Linked DNA regions of Caenorhabditis elegans. The protein of the gene in region 1 interacts with the protein of each later gene in a pairwise test. Each region holds a gene or a part of one and is shown on either strand. Other genes may lie near its edges.

Region 1 (7,555 bases):
GCCAAAAAAACCCTAAATTTATTGTTTTTTAGGCGTGGATTTCCGCGTAACTTCAATGGCAATCGACGGAAATCGTGTAAAACTCGCAATTTGGGACACCGCCGGCCAGGAGAGGTTCCGTACCCTCACGCCGAGCTATTATCGTGGAGCACAGGGCGTAATTTGCGTGTATGACGTCACTAGCCGCAGCTCCTTCGAGAAATTGAATCATTGGATGCAAGAAGTCGATACTTATTGCACAAATGACAATATTATCAAGATGATGGTCGCGAACAAGATTGATATGGTGCGAAAAAGCCGATTTTGTTCGATTTTTGGCCTAAAAAATAATTTTCAGCCAAATCGAGTGGTAACCCGCGAGGAAGGCCTAAAATTCGCAAAACGCCACCGCACACTATTCATTGAAGCTTCTGCGAAGACTAAGGAGGGTGTACAGTGCACATTTGAGGAGCTTATCGAGAAAATCATTCAAACGCCCGACTTATGGGACAATGACCGCCCGTCTTTTCGGTTGGGACAACCGACGGGCTCCAGTGGTGGCGGCGGAATGTGTGGATGCTAGGAAATTCTCGCGGAAAATTCGTTCATTTTGACATAAAATCGATATTTTTACTGTAAAATTCATCAATTTTCACCTAAAATCCTGTTTTTTTCATGTAAATTGTCAAAATTTGACCTAAAATCCTGTTTTTTCCATGTAAAAACGTGAATTTCGGTTTAAAATCGCCAATTTTCCCTCAAAATCGCCGTTTTTTCCATATAAAAATGTCCAACTTTGGCTTAAAATCGCTGGTTTTTCATGCAAAGTTTATCGATTTTAACCTAAATTAGGCCTTTTTCCATGTAAAAATGCAAATTTTCCCCTAAAATCGCCAATTTCCCAGCAAAATCGCTGTTTTCGATGCAAAATTCATCAATTTTCACCTAAAATAGCCCGTTTTTTTTCATGTAAATTGCCAAATTTTGACCTAAAATAACCATTTTTTCATGTAAAATCGCCGATTTTGGCTTAAAATCGCAAATTTTCCCCCATAATGGCCGTTTTTCATGGAAAATCGCCGATTTTGGCTTAAAATCGCCAATTTCCCATCAAAATCGCTGTTTTCGATGCAAAATTTATCGATTTTCACCTAAAATAGCTATTTTTCCCTGTAAAAATGTCAATTTTGACTTGAAATTGCCAATTTTCACCTGAAATCCCCGTTTTTCATTCAAAATTTATCGATTTTCACCTAAAATAGCTATTTTCCATGAGGAAATGTCGATTTTGGCTTAAAATTGCCACTTTTTCATGTAAAAATGTCAATTTTTCTCAAAAATCGCCGTTTTTCGTGCAAAATTTATCGATTTTCATCTAAAAAAGCTATTTTCCATACAAAAATACCAATTTTGGCTTAAAATTGCCACACTTTTTCATGTAAAAATGCCATTTTTTCCATGTAAAAACGACAATTTTCCCCCAAAATCGCTGTTTTCCATGTAAAATTACCAATTTCGGCTCAAAATTTCCAATTTTCATGTAACATTTATCGATTTTCACCTAAATTAGCCATTTTTCCGAGCAAAAATGCAAATTTTGGCCTAAAATCGCCAATTTTCCCCCAAAATTGTCGTTTTTCCGTGTAAAATTCATCGATTTTCACTTAAAATAGCTATTTTCCACGCAAAATTTATCGATTTTTACCTAAATTAGGCCCTTTTTTCATGTAAAATGTCAATTTTGACCTAAAATCGCTGGTTTTTCATGCACAATTCATCGATTTTCACCTAAAAAAAAAGTTCTTTTCCATGTAAAAATGCCAATTTTGTCTTAAAATTGTCAATTTTTCCCCAAAATTGCTGTTTTTAATGTGCAAAATTCATCGATTTTTCCGCGAAAAATCCCCGTTTTCCATGCAAAATTTATCGATTTTTACCTAAATTAGGTCGATTTTCCCCCAAAATTCCCCCATTTTTCATGTAAAATTCGTCCATTTTCCCCGCTAAATTGTACAAAAAACCACCCGAAAATCCCCCAATTTCACATAATTCTTGTCAAATTTCACACATTTTCAGTGCCTTTAAGCCCCGTTTTTTTGCTATAAAATTGCAACATTTTTCCTGTAATTTATTGGATTTTTGTGTTATTTTTTCTCTCGTTTTCAGCGATTTTCAGCATATCTTCATCGATTTTTTGCAGATTTTCAGCTATTTTTTTATCGATTTTTTTGGGAGATTTTTGTCATTTTTCACCTAATTTTATTGATTTTCAGCCTAATTTTGTGTGTGCTTTTACCCATTTTTCTATTATTTCCATCATTTTCCCCGAAATTTTATAGATTCTACCTATTTTTCAGCAAAATCTCATTTTTCAGCGATTTTTCATCATTTAAGCTATTTTTTATCGATTTTCACCGAATTTTCAGCTATTTTATCAGAAAAATCTCAGTTTTTTCCGGCAAATTCACTCAAATTTCGCCTATTTTAGCGAGGAGCTCTTTTTTCCAGCATTTTCACCGAATTTTCTTTTTTTTTCGTAAAAAAATCACCAAATTTCCTCATTTCCAACCTATTTTCTCCATTTTTTCGCGGTTTTTCCCGAATTTTAAACAATTTTTCGCCAAAAAACCCCAAATTTCTTCATTTCCAACCTTTTTATTCCATATTTTCGCCATTTTCTCGGGATTTTCAGCTATTTTTTCCAGAAAAACTCCTATTTTTTCGGCAAATTCACTCAAATACCGTTTATTTTCTCACAATTTATCGTTTTGGAGCTATTTTTCCAGCATTTTCACCGAATTTTAAGCAATTTTTTAAAAAATCACCAAATTTCCTCATTTTCGTCCAATTTTCTCCATTTTTTCGCGATTTTGAGCAATTTTTTCCAGAAAAACTCCAAATTTTCTCACTTTCACCCTATTTTTTTCCATATTTTCGCCATTTTGTCGGGTTTTTCAGCTATTTTTTCAGAAAAACCTCCATTTTTTCGCGATTTCCACCGAATTTTCAACGATTTTTCCAAAAAATCGCCAAATTTCCTCATTTTCGCCCAATTGTCTCCATTTTTCCGCGGTTTTCCCCTGATTTTCGGCTATTTTTTTTTTCAGAGAAACTCATTTTTTCGCGATTTCCACCGAATTTTCAGCTATTTTTCCATTAAAAAAACCCATTTTTTCGTGAATTTCTCCGAATTTTCGGTTTTTTTTTTCAGAAAATTCGGAAAAATTGGAATTTTTCACTGAAAACTCTGAAAAATTCAATAAAAATTGGATATTTTTACTAAAAACTCGGGAAAATTCGTGAAAATTGCCGTTTTTCACGTGAAAATTCGAGAAAAATTGAAAAATGTGGAATTAGTATCCAAAAATGCTCTCGGAGCCCAAAATTCAGGAAAATCCTGAAAAAATTAACCAATTTTACTCAGAAAACTGCAAAATTTTTTTTTCAGTTTTTCTCGCAAAAATGTGCTAAACTCTCAGATTAAAATTCAATTTTCCGTGGCAAATGTGCTCTATCGGTGATTTTGGTGTGAAAATTCCAAACTTTTGCATTAGAAATTACAAAATTTTGGAATTTTCCACCCGAAATTGCTCACAGGAGCACATTTGACCACTTTCCCGGGGAACCTCTGCCCAAATTTTCAAATTTTTCCATCCATTTTCTCCGGATTTTCAGCTCTATTTTTTAAAGAAAATTCCCAATTTTCCAGATGAGTGATCACCAGGATGGCATGAAACTTGAAGATATTGAACGCCAATTTTTGGACGTTGCTCAACGTGAAGGAGGTCTCGAAGCGATTCAGCCGACCACTGGACCACTGGAAAATGAAGAAAATCTGAAATCATCGACTGGTGGTGGTGGTGGAGAGGATGATAATGATCGGAAAAAGAGAAAACGATCGAGAAGTAGAGATCGCGATACGAGAAGACGCTCGAGAAGGTGCTTAAGCTGGAAAAAATTGCATTTTTTGACGGAATATTCGAGAATTTTCGTGGAAAACTCGGCGAAAATCGAGTTTTCCGCTAGAAAATTGACCCAAAATCGGATTTTTAGGAGGAAATTTTGTTTTTTTTTGGCCAGAATTACGCTGAAAATCGCTTTTTGCATGAAAAACGGCTTAAAAATGACTTCAAACCCAGAAAATCAACATTTTTAGAGCAAAAATTCGAGGATTTTCGTCGAAAACTCTGCGAAAATCGAGTTTTCCGCTAGAAAATGGTCTAAATTTGAAGAAAATTGACCCAAAATCGGATTTTCAGAGCGAAATTTGATGATTTTCCATGAAAAACACTACCGAAAATCCCATTTTTCCTGCCAAAAAACTCTTTAAAAAATCGATTTTTGCTTGAAGAAATCCACCAAAATTTTCATTTTCTTTGCCAAAAATCTATGAAAAATCGATTTTTTCACAGGAAAAGCGGAAAAGATGCAATTTTAGCTGAAAATCCACCGAAAATTCGCATTTTTTACTTTGAAAAATCGCAAAAAATCGATTTTTCCTTCCAAAAACCTCCAAAAAATTGCAATTTTAGCTGAATTTCCACGGAAAAGTCAAATTTTCTGTCCAAAAGTTTGCAAAAATTCGATTTTCAGTTGGAAAATTGCGTTTTTTGGTCAAATTCCACCGAAAATTCCCATTTTTTAACCTAAAAAGTTGTAAAATATCGATTTTTCCTGCCGAAAACCCCGAAATTTTCAGTCGTGGAAGCGAGAAATCGCAATTTTAGCTAAATTTCCCACGAAAATTCCCATTTTTTTAACCTAAAAAGTAACGATAAAATCCATTTTCCTGTTCAAAAACTCGCCAAAAATAGATTTTTTAATTAAATTCCACCAAAAAAATTCGCATTTTTCCGCCCAAAAACCTCCAAAAAGTCCCAATTTTAGCTGAATTTCCATTGAAAAGTCTAATTTTCTGTCCAAAAAACCGCAAAAAATCGATTTTCCAGTGGAAAATTGCGTTCTTTGGTCAAATTTTACCTAAAAATTTTGAATTTTTACAATAAAAAGTGGCGGTTTTTACTCAAATTGTACTGAAAAACGCAATAAGAATGGTTTTTCTGTCCAAAAATTTGCGAAAAATCCATCTTTCCGCCCAAAAACCTTCAAAAAATCGCAATTTTAGCTGAGTTTCCACGGAAAAGTCAAATTTTCTGTCCAAAAGTTGGCGAAAAATCGAATTTCCAGTGGAAAATTGCGAAAATTTACATTTTTAACTTAAAAAATCGATTTTTCCTTCCAAAAACCTGCGCGAATCTGACAAAAATTGCAATTTTTCTGCATGAAAACTCATTTTTCTAGCCAAAAAAGTGCGCAAAAATCGATTTTTCCCCTGGAAAATTGCGATTTTAGCTGAAAATCACTGAAAATCCGCATTTTTTAACCTAAAAAATCGCAAAAAATCGATTTTTCCCGCCAAAAACCTGCGAAGCTGCCAAAAATTGCAATTTTTCTGCATGAAAACTCATTTTTCTAGCCAAAAAATCGCGAGAAAATCGATTTTTCCCGCCAAAAACCTGCGAAACTGCCAAAAATTGCAATTTTTCTGCATGAAAACTCATTTTTCTAGCCAAAAAATCGCGAAAAAATCGATTTTTCCCGCCAAAAACCTGCGAAACTGCCAAAAATTGCAATTTTTCTAGCCAAAAAATTGCAAAAAAAATCGATTTTTACACTGGAAAATTGCGATTTTAGCTGAAAGTCACTGAAAATCCGCATTTTTTAACCTAAAAAATCGCAAAAAAATCGATTTTTCCCGGCAAAAAACCCCAAAAACCCCCCATTTTCAGTCGTGATCGTGGAGAACGTCGTGGTGGTGGAGGTGGAGGTGATCGTGATCGTTCTCGATCCCGTGAACGTCGTCGAGGCGGTGGTGGTCGTGATGAGCCGAGACGTCGTGGAGGTGATGATGAAGCCCGTTCGCGCCGTGAGCCGGAGCCCCAGAAGCCTCGTGAGCCCAAAAAGTACCGATTCTGGGATGTTCCGCCGACTGGATTCGAGACAACTACACCGATGGAGTACAAGAATATGCAGGCGGCTGGACAGGTTCCACGTGGATCTGTACAGTCTGCAGTGCCCGTTGTTGGTACGGAAAAATGGAATTTTTCGCCTGACAATTCGGAAAAATTCGAGAAAATTGGCGGTTTTTGCCTGAAAATTCGGAAAAATTCGAGAAAATTGGCAGTTTTCACTGAAAATTCGGAAAAATTCGAGAAAATTGGCAGTTTTCACTGAAAATTCGGAAAAATTCGAGAAAATTGGCAGTTTTCACTGAAAATTCGGAAAAATTCGAGAAAATTGGCAGTTTTCACTGAAAATTCGGAAAAATTCGAGAAAATTGGCAGTTTTTGCCTGAAAATTCGGAAAAATTCGAGAAAATTGGCAGTTTTCACTGAAAATTCGGAAAAATTCGAGAAAATTGGCAGTTTTCACTGAAAATTCGAGAAAATTCGATTTTTTCACTGAAAATTCGGAAAAATTCGAATTTTTCATCGAAAATTCGGAAAAATTCGAATTTTTCATCGAAAATTCAATAAAAATTGGATATTTTTACTAAAAACTCGGGAAAATTCGTGAAAATTGCCGTTTTTCACGTGAAAATTCGGGAAAATTTGAATTTTTCACTGAAAAATCGGAAAAATTGGATTTTTTACTGAAAATTCGGAAAAATTGGATTTTTTCACTGAAAACTCTGAAAAATTCAATAAAAATTGGATATTTTTACTAAAAACTCGGGAAAATTCGTGAAAATTGCCGTTTTTCACGTGAAAATTCGGGAAAATTTGAATTTTTCACTGAAAAATCGGAAAAATTGGATTTTTTACTGAAAATTCGGAAAAATTGGATTTTTTCACTGAAAACTCTGAAAAATTCAATAAAAATTGGATATTTTTACTAAAAACTCGGGAAAATTCGTGAAAATTGCCGTTTTTCACGTGAAAATTCGAGAAAAATTGAAAAATGTGGAATTAGTATCCAAAAATGCTCTCGGAGCCCAAAATTCAGGAAAATCCTGAAAAAATTAACCAATTTTACTCAGAAAACTGCAAAATTTTTTTTTCAGTTTTTCTCGCAAAAATGTGCTAAACTCTCAGATTAAAATTCAATTTTCCGTGGCAAATGTGCTCTATCGGTGATTTTGGTGTGAAAATTCCAAACTTTTGCATTAGAAATTACAAAATTTTGGAATTTTCCACCCGAAATTGCTCACAGGAGCACATTTGACCACTTTCCCGGGGAACCTCTGCCCAAATTTTCGATTTTTCCAAATAAAATTCTGTAAAAAGTGCAATTTTGCCAGATTTTTTGCTTCAAAAGCTCAAAATTACCGTTAAAAAAGTCAAAAAATAAAATTATTCCAGTTTTTGGTTGAATTTTGATTTAAAAATCGGAAAATAGTGTGCAAAAATCTGACAAAGTTACGAAAAAAAACTAAATTTTTGCCCTGATTTTGATTTTTCAGTGCTGAAAAACTGTCGAAAAATCAAAAAGTGTCAATTTTTATCTAGAAAATTCGAAAAACTTCACTGAATTTTTGAATTCTCTCGCTGTTCCGTGGCAAATGTGCTCTATCGGC
Region 2 (7,272 bases), on another chromosome or scaffold:
GATGATACTGCTGATAAAGTACATGTCTAGAGGGCTATTTTAAAAATAAAGTAGATATATTTTCTGAACATTTTGTTTTACTAGAATTGACTTGTAAGTTCTTCTATTGTTCAAAATTAGCGAAACATTTCTTTGACTCCATATCTTGTCTTCAGTCTTTGTTACCGCGATCAAATTCCTTTTCTTTGTATATACTTGTCCTATGATAGTGAACATCTCAGCGCCGCACCGCGAATACCTCGGAATAATCAATCCAAATTAAGGACATTCTTGATAATATTGTGGCGGAAGAGGCATAGGCGATCGTCAATTCATAATAGTCTAGATTTTCGGGGGAGAACTGTCCAACGAGGCGGTAATTTTTGAAAAAGGGAGTGTCCAATTTATACACCTGCTCGCGAATGATTAAAAAGAGCCAGCTGTTTTAACAGAATAATATACAGTAATAAGGATTTATTGAAATCTTTACCTTTTGGATTTCCGCCTGTCACTTCTTATAGACTGTAAAATTAACTTCCGTTGTTCATCCCTTTTCCGGTATAGATTCACACCTAGATACGAGACTTTCGGAGTCTCACAAGAAAGATCAATATCTTTGGCAATGGTTGAGTACACGAAAAGAACGCTTTGATCAGACAGTTATACACAAAGTTAGGTGATCTGATCAGTGTGCACTTGTACTCACAACTTCTCGAGACTCTATTATAGATGAACGTAGATGTTTGCTCATTCAATTTATGTGTGTTTTTTCACTTCAAAGAGTGCACACATAATTTATGTATTACACACACGTTCTTTGTATTCTATCTAGCTGCCCTGGGAAGTGTATCTCTAGTTTATGACATTCTGATGCTCGCCTGTGGCTTTGAGTACTCACGGTGACTGGGCCGTAAAGTTGATACGATTTCAAAACAAAACATTTTAGGTTTTTCTAACTTATTACATGCTTTTTCAATGATTGTTCTTTTGTACCTCATTTTTGAAGTGTTCTTGCGTGGGCAGTAAATACCATCTTGACCTGGTTCTTAAAAAACCGCAAATCGTTGACAAGTGCTAATAGTTGTCTCTTTCTCTCTATTTACAACCATTTTTTGTGTGATGCTGCTACCGAGATTTTTCAAGAGTTCCAAGAGCTTATTAGTAAGCGCTAACCATCACCACGACCACCAAGCAGCACAACAGGTTAAGGATGATGATGAATAAGAGAACGGTGAGAGGAGGATCGGGAGAAGGATGATGGGAAGAGAGGGCAACCAGCCAACTGCCGCTGTGTGTATAATGATGCGGGAAAAGAGAACAGAGCGAGAGAGTCGAAATATATTGAGCGGTGTTTAATAGACGCAGACACGCCGCGTGCAGGCGGAAAGTTTCAAGTACGTCCCTCCCGGTCTCTTTCTCTTGGATGATGGTGTATCTGCGTCTCGAATCACTAATTCTCTCTTTCTGTCTATATCGTTGAAAATAGAGAGAGAGAGAACGACCTATCCATCGACTTGTCGCCCCTAATCCCGGGGGCACTGTTCCATTTTTTCTCTGGAATTAGTTCAATGTGTCCGTTACTCGAAAATTGTTTTTTAATTTCTCATTTTCTGAACATTGAACCTAGATTTTTTAAACAATGAATTTTTAATTTAAATGCCATAGCCAATGTTTTATATTAACATTGATTGCAAAAAAAAAAGAAATGTTTCTTTCCAAAAATATAACATTTCTTTTGAAATATAAACATTGATTGGCAATTTTCAAAAATTTTAAGCGTTTTTTACAGAAATGCCTTGCCTTTTTCAATTATTTTTCCAAATTTGTTTAGTTAGTCTTCAATGACTCACCGCAAACTTTTTTTAGAAACTTTGGAAACTCTAAATATTTCATTTTATAAAATTTTTGAACATAGATATTTTACACCAATATTTTTAGAAAACAAATTGCACCGGAAATAGTGCCCAATTTCATAATATTTGTTCTCCGGTGTATCCACAATCCAAAACCACCTTTATCACATCACTTTATCTAATTCTCTAAGCCTTTTCTGATCTTCACTGCCTCACTATTTTCACCCACTTGCCGCACTTTTCAATGGATGAGTGGGAGTTGTATTGATTAGTATTATATTTATATATCCTTAAGGATATATTTTTAATGGCGGAGTCCATGGATAGTTTGCTTAAAATTATTGAAAATTGGTCCTAATGAACGAATATATATATTTAAAAATGGTTTTAAATTATTTATAAATTTGAAGTTTGAAATTTTTTTTTTCAGTTTTGCCAAAAAATTCAAATTGCACATTTTTGTTGCAAAATTAAAAAAAATTTAGAACCATTTATAAGTGTTTTATAATTATATACGGTATTCGATTTTTCGATTTTTGGTTTTTTATTTAACAAGAACGTTGCATTTTTTAGATTTTTTTTTTTAGAAAAACCCGTAAATTTTTTGATTTTTTGGTATTTCGGAAAACCGAAAAACCGGCAGATTTCGAAAATTCGGGTATTCACATTCCAAGATTTATACGCAAAAGCTATGAAACTTTAGTCAAAAGATTAATCGAATAGTTGTGGTCTCATATTTCAAAAGAAGGATGAACCGGGAAATGAGTGAACGTTAAAGTAGTGGTGGTGGGATATGAAGAGTAATTGACTTGGAGGTGGTCGAATACGCGGAATAAGTCTCCGGTTTCAGTCACACGCTAAACTGGTCATTTCTTGTGGGTGTCTGTGTGTGAATACGAGTCATTTTTCCCAAGCTTCATCGTTTGATCTATTTTTTCTCGTTTCCAAAACCATAATATTTTTACAAAATACTTTATATATTTTTTGGAATTTCTACCCATTATTGTATCAATGAAACGAACGTCATTTGTATCACTTTTCTCATCGTTCTTTGCTTTTCTGATTGAACCTATCTCAAACAACAACATTTTTTACTAAAAAAATTTCATATTTTGCAGAATGGGTCAAGATGACGAGGACGATGCGCATATGCTGCAAGCAAAGCAGCAAATCACTTTTAATGTTGTGAATAAGAGAAAGGTGAGCTTTTTTCAAAAGTTTGAAAACAAAATTCAACAAAAAAATAAATCTGTAATTTTTGCGAAAAAAAATTTGGTAAAAACCTCGTTTATCACAAATTAAAATAGTAAAATAAAACTAAAATTTTCTTCGTTTAAATTGAAGAAATTGTCTAAATTTATATTTAAATTTCAACATTATAAATTAAAAATCAGTTTGAAATTTCATTTTTGTTAAAAGTGATCTTCGAACTTTAAATATCAAATTTTTGGCCGACTTTCTTCGGTTTTTGCGCCAAAAGTACGGTACCCGGTCTCGACACGAAAGATTTCTGTTAAATGCGAAAAGTTATGCACCTTTAAAGGTTACTGTAACTTTCAAAAAGGAATTTTCATTTTTTTTTCCATAGTTTTCATAGTTGTCTTTTTTTGTTCAGTAAATTAATATATTTTCAAAAACGAAAAACGTTAAAAAAATCATGGAATTTCACAACAATAGTAGGTTGAAATTACAGTACTCTTTAAAGGCGCAAGCCTTTTTGCATTAAACATAAATGAATCGTTTCGAGACCGGGGACCCGTTTTTTGACGTGAAAATCTTTAAAAAATTTCATCTGCTTAATTTTCCAGTTTGAAGCTTGTTCAGTTTTTTTGTAGTTTTTTTTTTCGAATTAAAAATTTGAGAAATTTAAAATTATTCTAGAGAAAGTTTCTGAAAACACCTTGCTCTCTATGATTTTTTGTCTGAACCGTCGTTCTTCCTTCATTTTCCATGTTTCCTCCTCCACCCCCGTTCTCCATTTTTCCTGCCATTTTCCATACAAACACATTGACAATAAAAGTGAGTCAGCGGGCACAGGGACACGACGACGGCGACGACGACGACGTCTCTTTCGTCTCTTCTCCGGAAAAAAAACCACCAAAAGAGAACGTTTTTTGATCTTTTTTTGATAGTTTCCACAGGCTTCCGGTTGAACTTTTTTCTTATCAGTGTCAAGTTTTGACTCATTCTAATCGGACGATTATTCGTTTTATTTTTTTCCATTTGCTTTGAAACTTTTTCTCTTGATCATTCAAAAATTAATTTCTAAAAAAAATTACAAACCAGTAGGTATTTAGTGAACAAAAAAAAAACGACAATCACGACCGAAATCCAGTCGTTTATACTTGTTAATCAATTGTGCAAACAGGTGCAAACACAATTTGTGAGCTCTCTCGGCGTGTGCCAACTTTTACTCTTTTTTACGCCGAGGGTTCGAAGTTTAAACATTCAATAAATTTAATATTTTTTAAACAAAAAAAACCATTTATTTGTAATTTTTAAATTTTCAGGATCAATTGCGCCGTTGGCAGAGCAGCGAGATGAACGCAGAAGCAGCTCGGCGAACGAAACGTCCAAAAGTACAATTTCAAGACAGTGATATTTTTCTGTCGGCATGTATGTCTGGAGATGAAGAAGAAGTTGAAGAACTGTTGAACAAGGGTGCCAATATTAATACTTGTACAGTTGACGGGTTGACCGCATTGCATCAGGTGAGATTTGCATTTATTATTGACAATTTGGTACTTGTATCGTCCATATGTGAAGTTTCGTGAATTTTGTTTAAAAAAATACGATACCCGGTCTCGAGGTGAACCTAAAGGAGTACTGTAGTTTTTCTACAGTTTCTTCAAAATTGCACATGTTTTTCAATAAAAGTTAAACAAACGTTTGAAAACGTATGAAACATCGAGGAAAATCCTGCAACAACAGAGAGCAGGGCTGGAGCAACGAAATTACAAAAAAAAATGAAATTGATAAAAACAAAACGAATTTAATTTGGAATTTATTTTAGAAAACAACCTTAACTTTTTCTGGAAATAAAAGTTCAAAAATAAATTTTAAAAAAATTCTTTTTGAATCCTTAAAAAACACATTTTTCGTAAAAAAAAAGTTCTTTAAAAACAGCTACAGTACTCCTTTAAGGCGCACAATATTTTAAATTTGGTGCTTCGAGACCGTACTTTTGAAACAAATCGCAACGTTTTGCATATGGATAGAACATTGAAAAATTGAAATATTGCATAAACAAAACATTCGAAATTGAATATTTTCAGTCGGTAATTGATTCAAAACCCGAAATGGTTCGATTTCTTTGTGAAAAAGGAGCCGATGTGAATGCACAAGATAATGAAGGATGGACACCTCTTCACGCAGCTGCATGTTGTGGAAATGTGGCAATAGTCAGATATTTGTGTCAACATGGAGCCGATCTCTCAATAGTTAATAGTGATAAAGAGTTAGCACTTGATCTTGCAGTAGATGAACAATGTCGTGATTATCTTGACGATGATTACAAGCGACAAATGATTGATCTCGATGCTTGTAGAGATCAAGAACTTCAGACAATGTTGAAAGATGTGAATATGTGGATGAGTCAGGGAGAATATCGAGATATTCCTCACCACAGAACAGGTGGAACTGCAATGCATGTAGCTGCTGGGCGAGGATACACACAATTACTCGAATTACTTATCAAAGCGGGTGGAAATGTACGGGCACAGGATGTCGAAGGATGGACTCCGTTGCATGCGGCTGCACATTGGGCTGAACGAGATGCATGTAAAATATTATTGGAAAATGGAGCGGAATTATCGGATCTAACGTTTACGGTAGGGGTTTACAGTTTTTCTGTTGCGGTTTTCAAGACCTGGCGCCTGCTTGAAACCTACCAGCCACTCGCCTATTTTCTGTATTCTGGCGTGAATTTTCAAATTTCTTATCTTCGAATTTCAATTCGATGAAAATCAAATTTAAAAAATAAATGAGGAAGGCAGAGGTCGCCTTAATTAAGCCAGGCAGGCGTTTCGACGCCGACATGGAAGTCCTATCAAAGAAAAACGACAACAAAACTGAATTTAAAAACATTTGTCATACCAAAATATGTTTTTTCAAAGATAAAAAATATTATTTACTGAAAAAATGTACAAACTTTATTTTTATCAAAAGTATATAAATTCACACCAATTGCTTTAAATTTTTTTAAATTTTTATTTAAAAAAAAAACAATTTTCAGGGTGCTGACGTTCTTGGAGTAGCTGATAAAGAATGCATCGATTATCTTGTCGAGTTGGCTGACACTGTGAAAGTACAGAACAAGCGAAAATCACCGGGTAGTGGCTCCCAGCCACCAACTTCAATACTTCAGGAGAAGAATCATAGAATGCCGTCACACGAGGAACATGTTCTGACAAGTGAACGGAAACGAGATTTACAGCATAAGGATCAGCATAGGTGGGGGTTTAGAAATTAATAATTTGAAAATTTAATATTGGAAAGTTTTATTGGGAAAAATCTGAATCAGAATTTCCTCAAAAAAATATTTTAAAAACATTGCATGTTCACCCTCAATTATTCCACTATATCCTATCGCTTCTCTATTTTTTTGTCTATTTTTTTATATTTCTCCAGTGAAAACGAGTTTCTTCACTCGCATCCATCCACTGCATCAGTTGGCTCGACCACATCATCCAACACAAATACCACCACAACCACCATTGTTATCGGTGAAAATGATATTTCTGCTGCACAAAAAGATTCAAGAGAATCATCGAAAGAATCAGCTGTTGATGATGAAGAATATGTCGCAGAAGATGAAATGGAAGAAGCTGAAGAAGATGAAGAAGAAGAAGATGTTGAAGAAGAAGAGGAAGAAAAAAGTGAAGCTGAATTAAAAAATGGAAAAGAAATTTCACCGCTTCGATCGGAAACTACAAGTTCGAGGAGTATATCTATAACGAGGTGAGTGAGCAGGCTTTTGAGCTGGAAATTTATGTTTTCTCCTGCAATTTCCACCACCCTATGAGTTTGAAACTTCTCCCCTCTCATTCAGGGACACGTCTGCAAGCTTTTTATTTTCGAGAATTGCTCGTTTTAATTTCAAAAAAAAAACTGAATTTTGTTCTTAAACAGGTCACAATCAAACCTTTAAAAATCATTAAAATTCAAATTCAACTGAAAAGTGAATTTAAAAAATCTACTGATGTTGTTTCCTCGAAAATTCCATTTTGAGCAAGTACGTTATTACCTAGACGCGAAATTTTGTCATTTTGCGGTATTTTTTATATGAAAAACCGATAGAAATTCCTCAAAAAGGAGAGTTTGAAATTACAGTAGTCTTAAAAGGTGCACACCCATTTTCAATTTATAATAAAAATTGTCGTGACGAGACCGGGTACCGTATTTTTGGGCCAAAAATCGGAAAATTTCGCATATTTTTCTA

What was found.
Region 2: the proteins of uaf-1 (region 1) and mel-11 interact in a two-hybrid assay, tested with the Caenorhabditis elegans proteins (one large-scale study listed by BioGRID).

The regions. Positions count from the first base shown.
Region 1 is NC_003281.10:1,072,689-1,080,243, reverse strand, and holds the start of uaf-1 (Splicing factor U2AF 65 kDa subunit), read left to right. Parts: upstream 1-3,688; coding exon 3,689-3,918; intron 3,919-5,768; coding exon 5,769-6,064; intron 6,065-7,555. Other genes in the region: Ras-related protein Rab-18, read left to right, coding at 33-286, 338-562. UniProt on the Caenorhabditis elegans protein: Necessary for the splicing of pre-mRNA. Binds to the polypyrimidine tract of introns early during spliceosome assembly.
Region 2 is NC_003280.10:9,355,583-9,362,854, forward strand, and holds the start of mel-11 (cGMP-dependent protein kinase interacting domain-containing protein), read left to right. Parts: upstream 1-2,948; 5' UTR 2,949-2,951; coding exon 2,952-3,032; intron 3,033-4,342; coding exon 4,343-4,543; intron 4,544-5,107; coding exon 5,108-5,662; intron 5,663-6,066; coding exon 6,067-6,284; intron 6,285-6,461; coding exon 6,462-6,791; intron 6,792-7,272.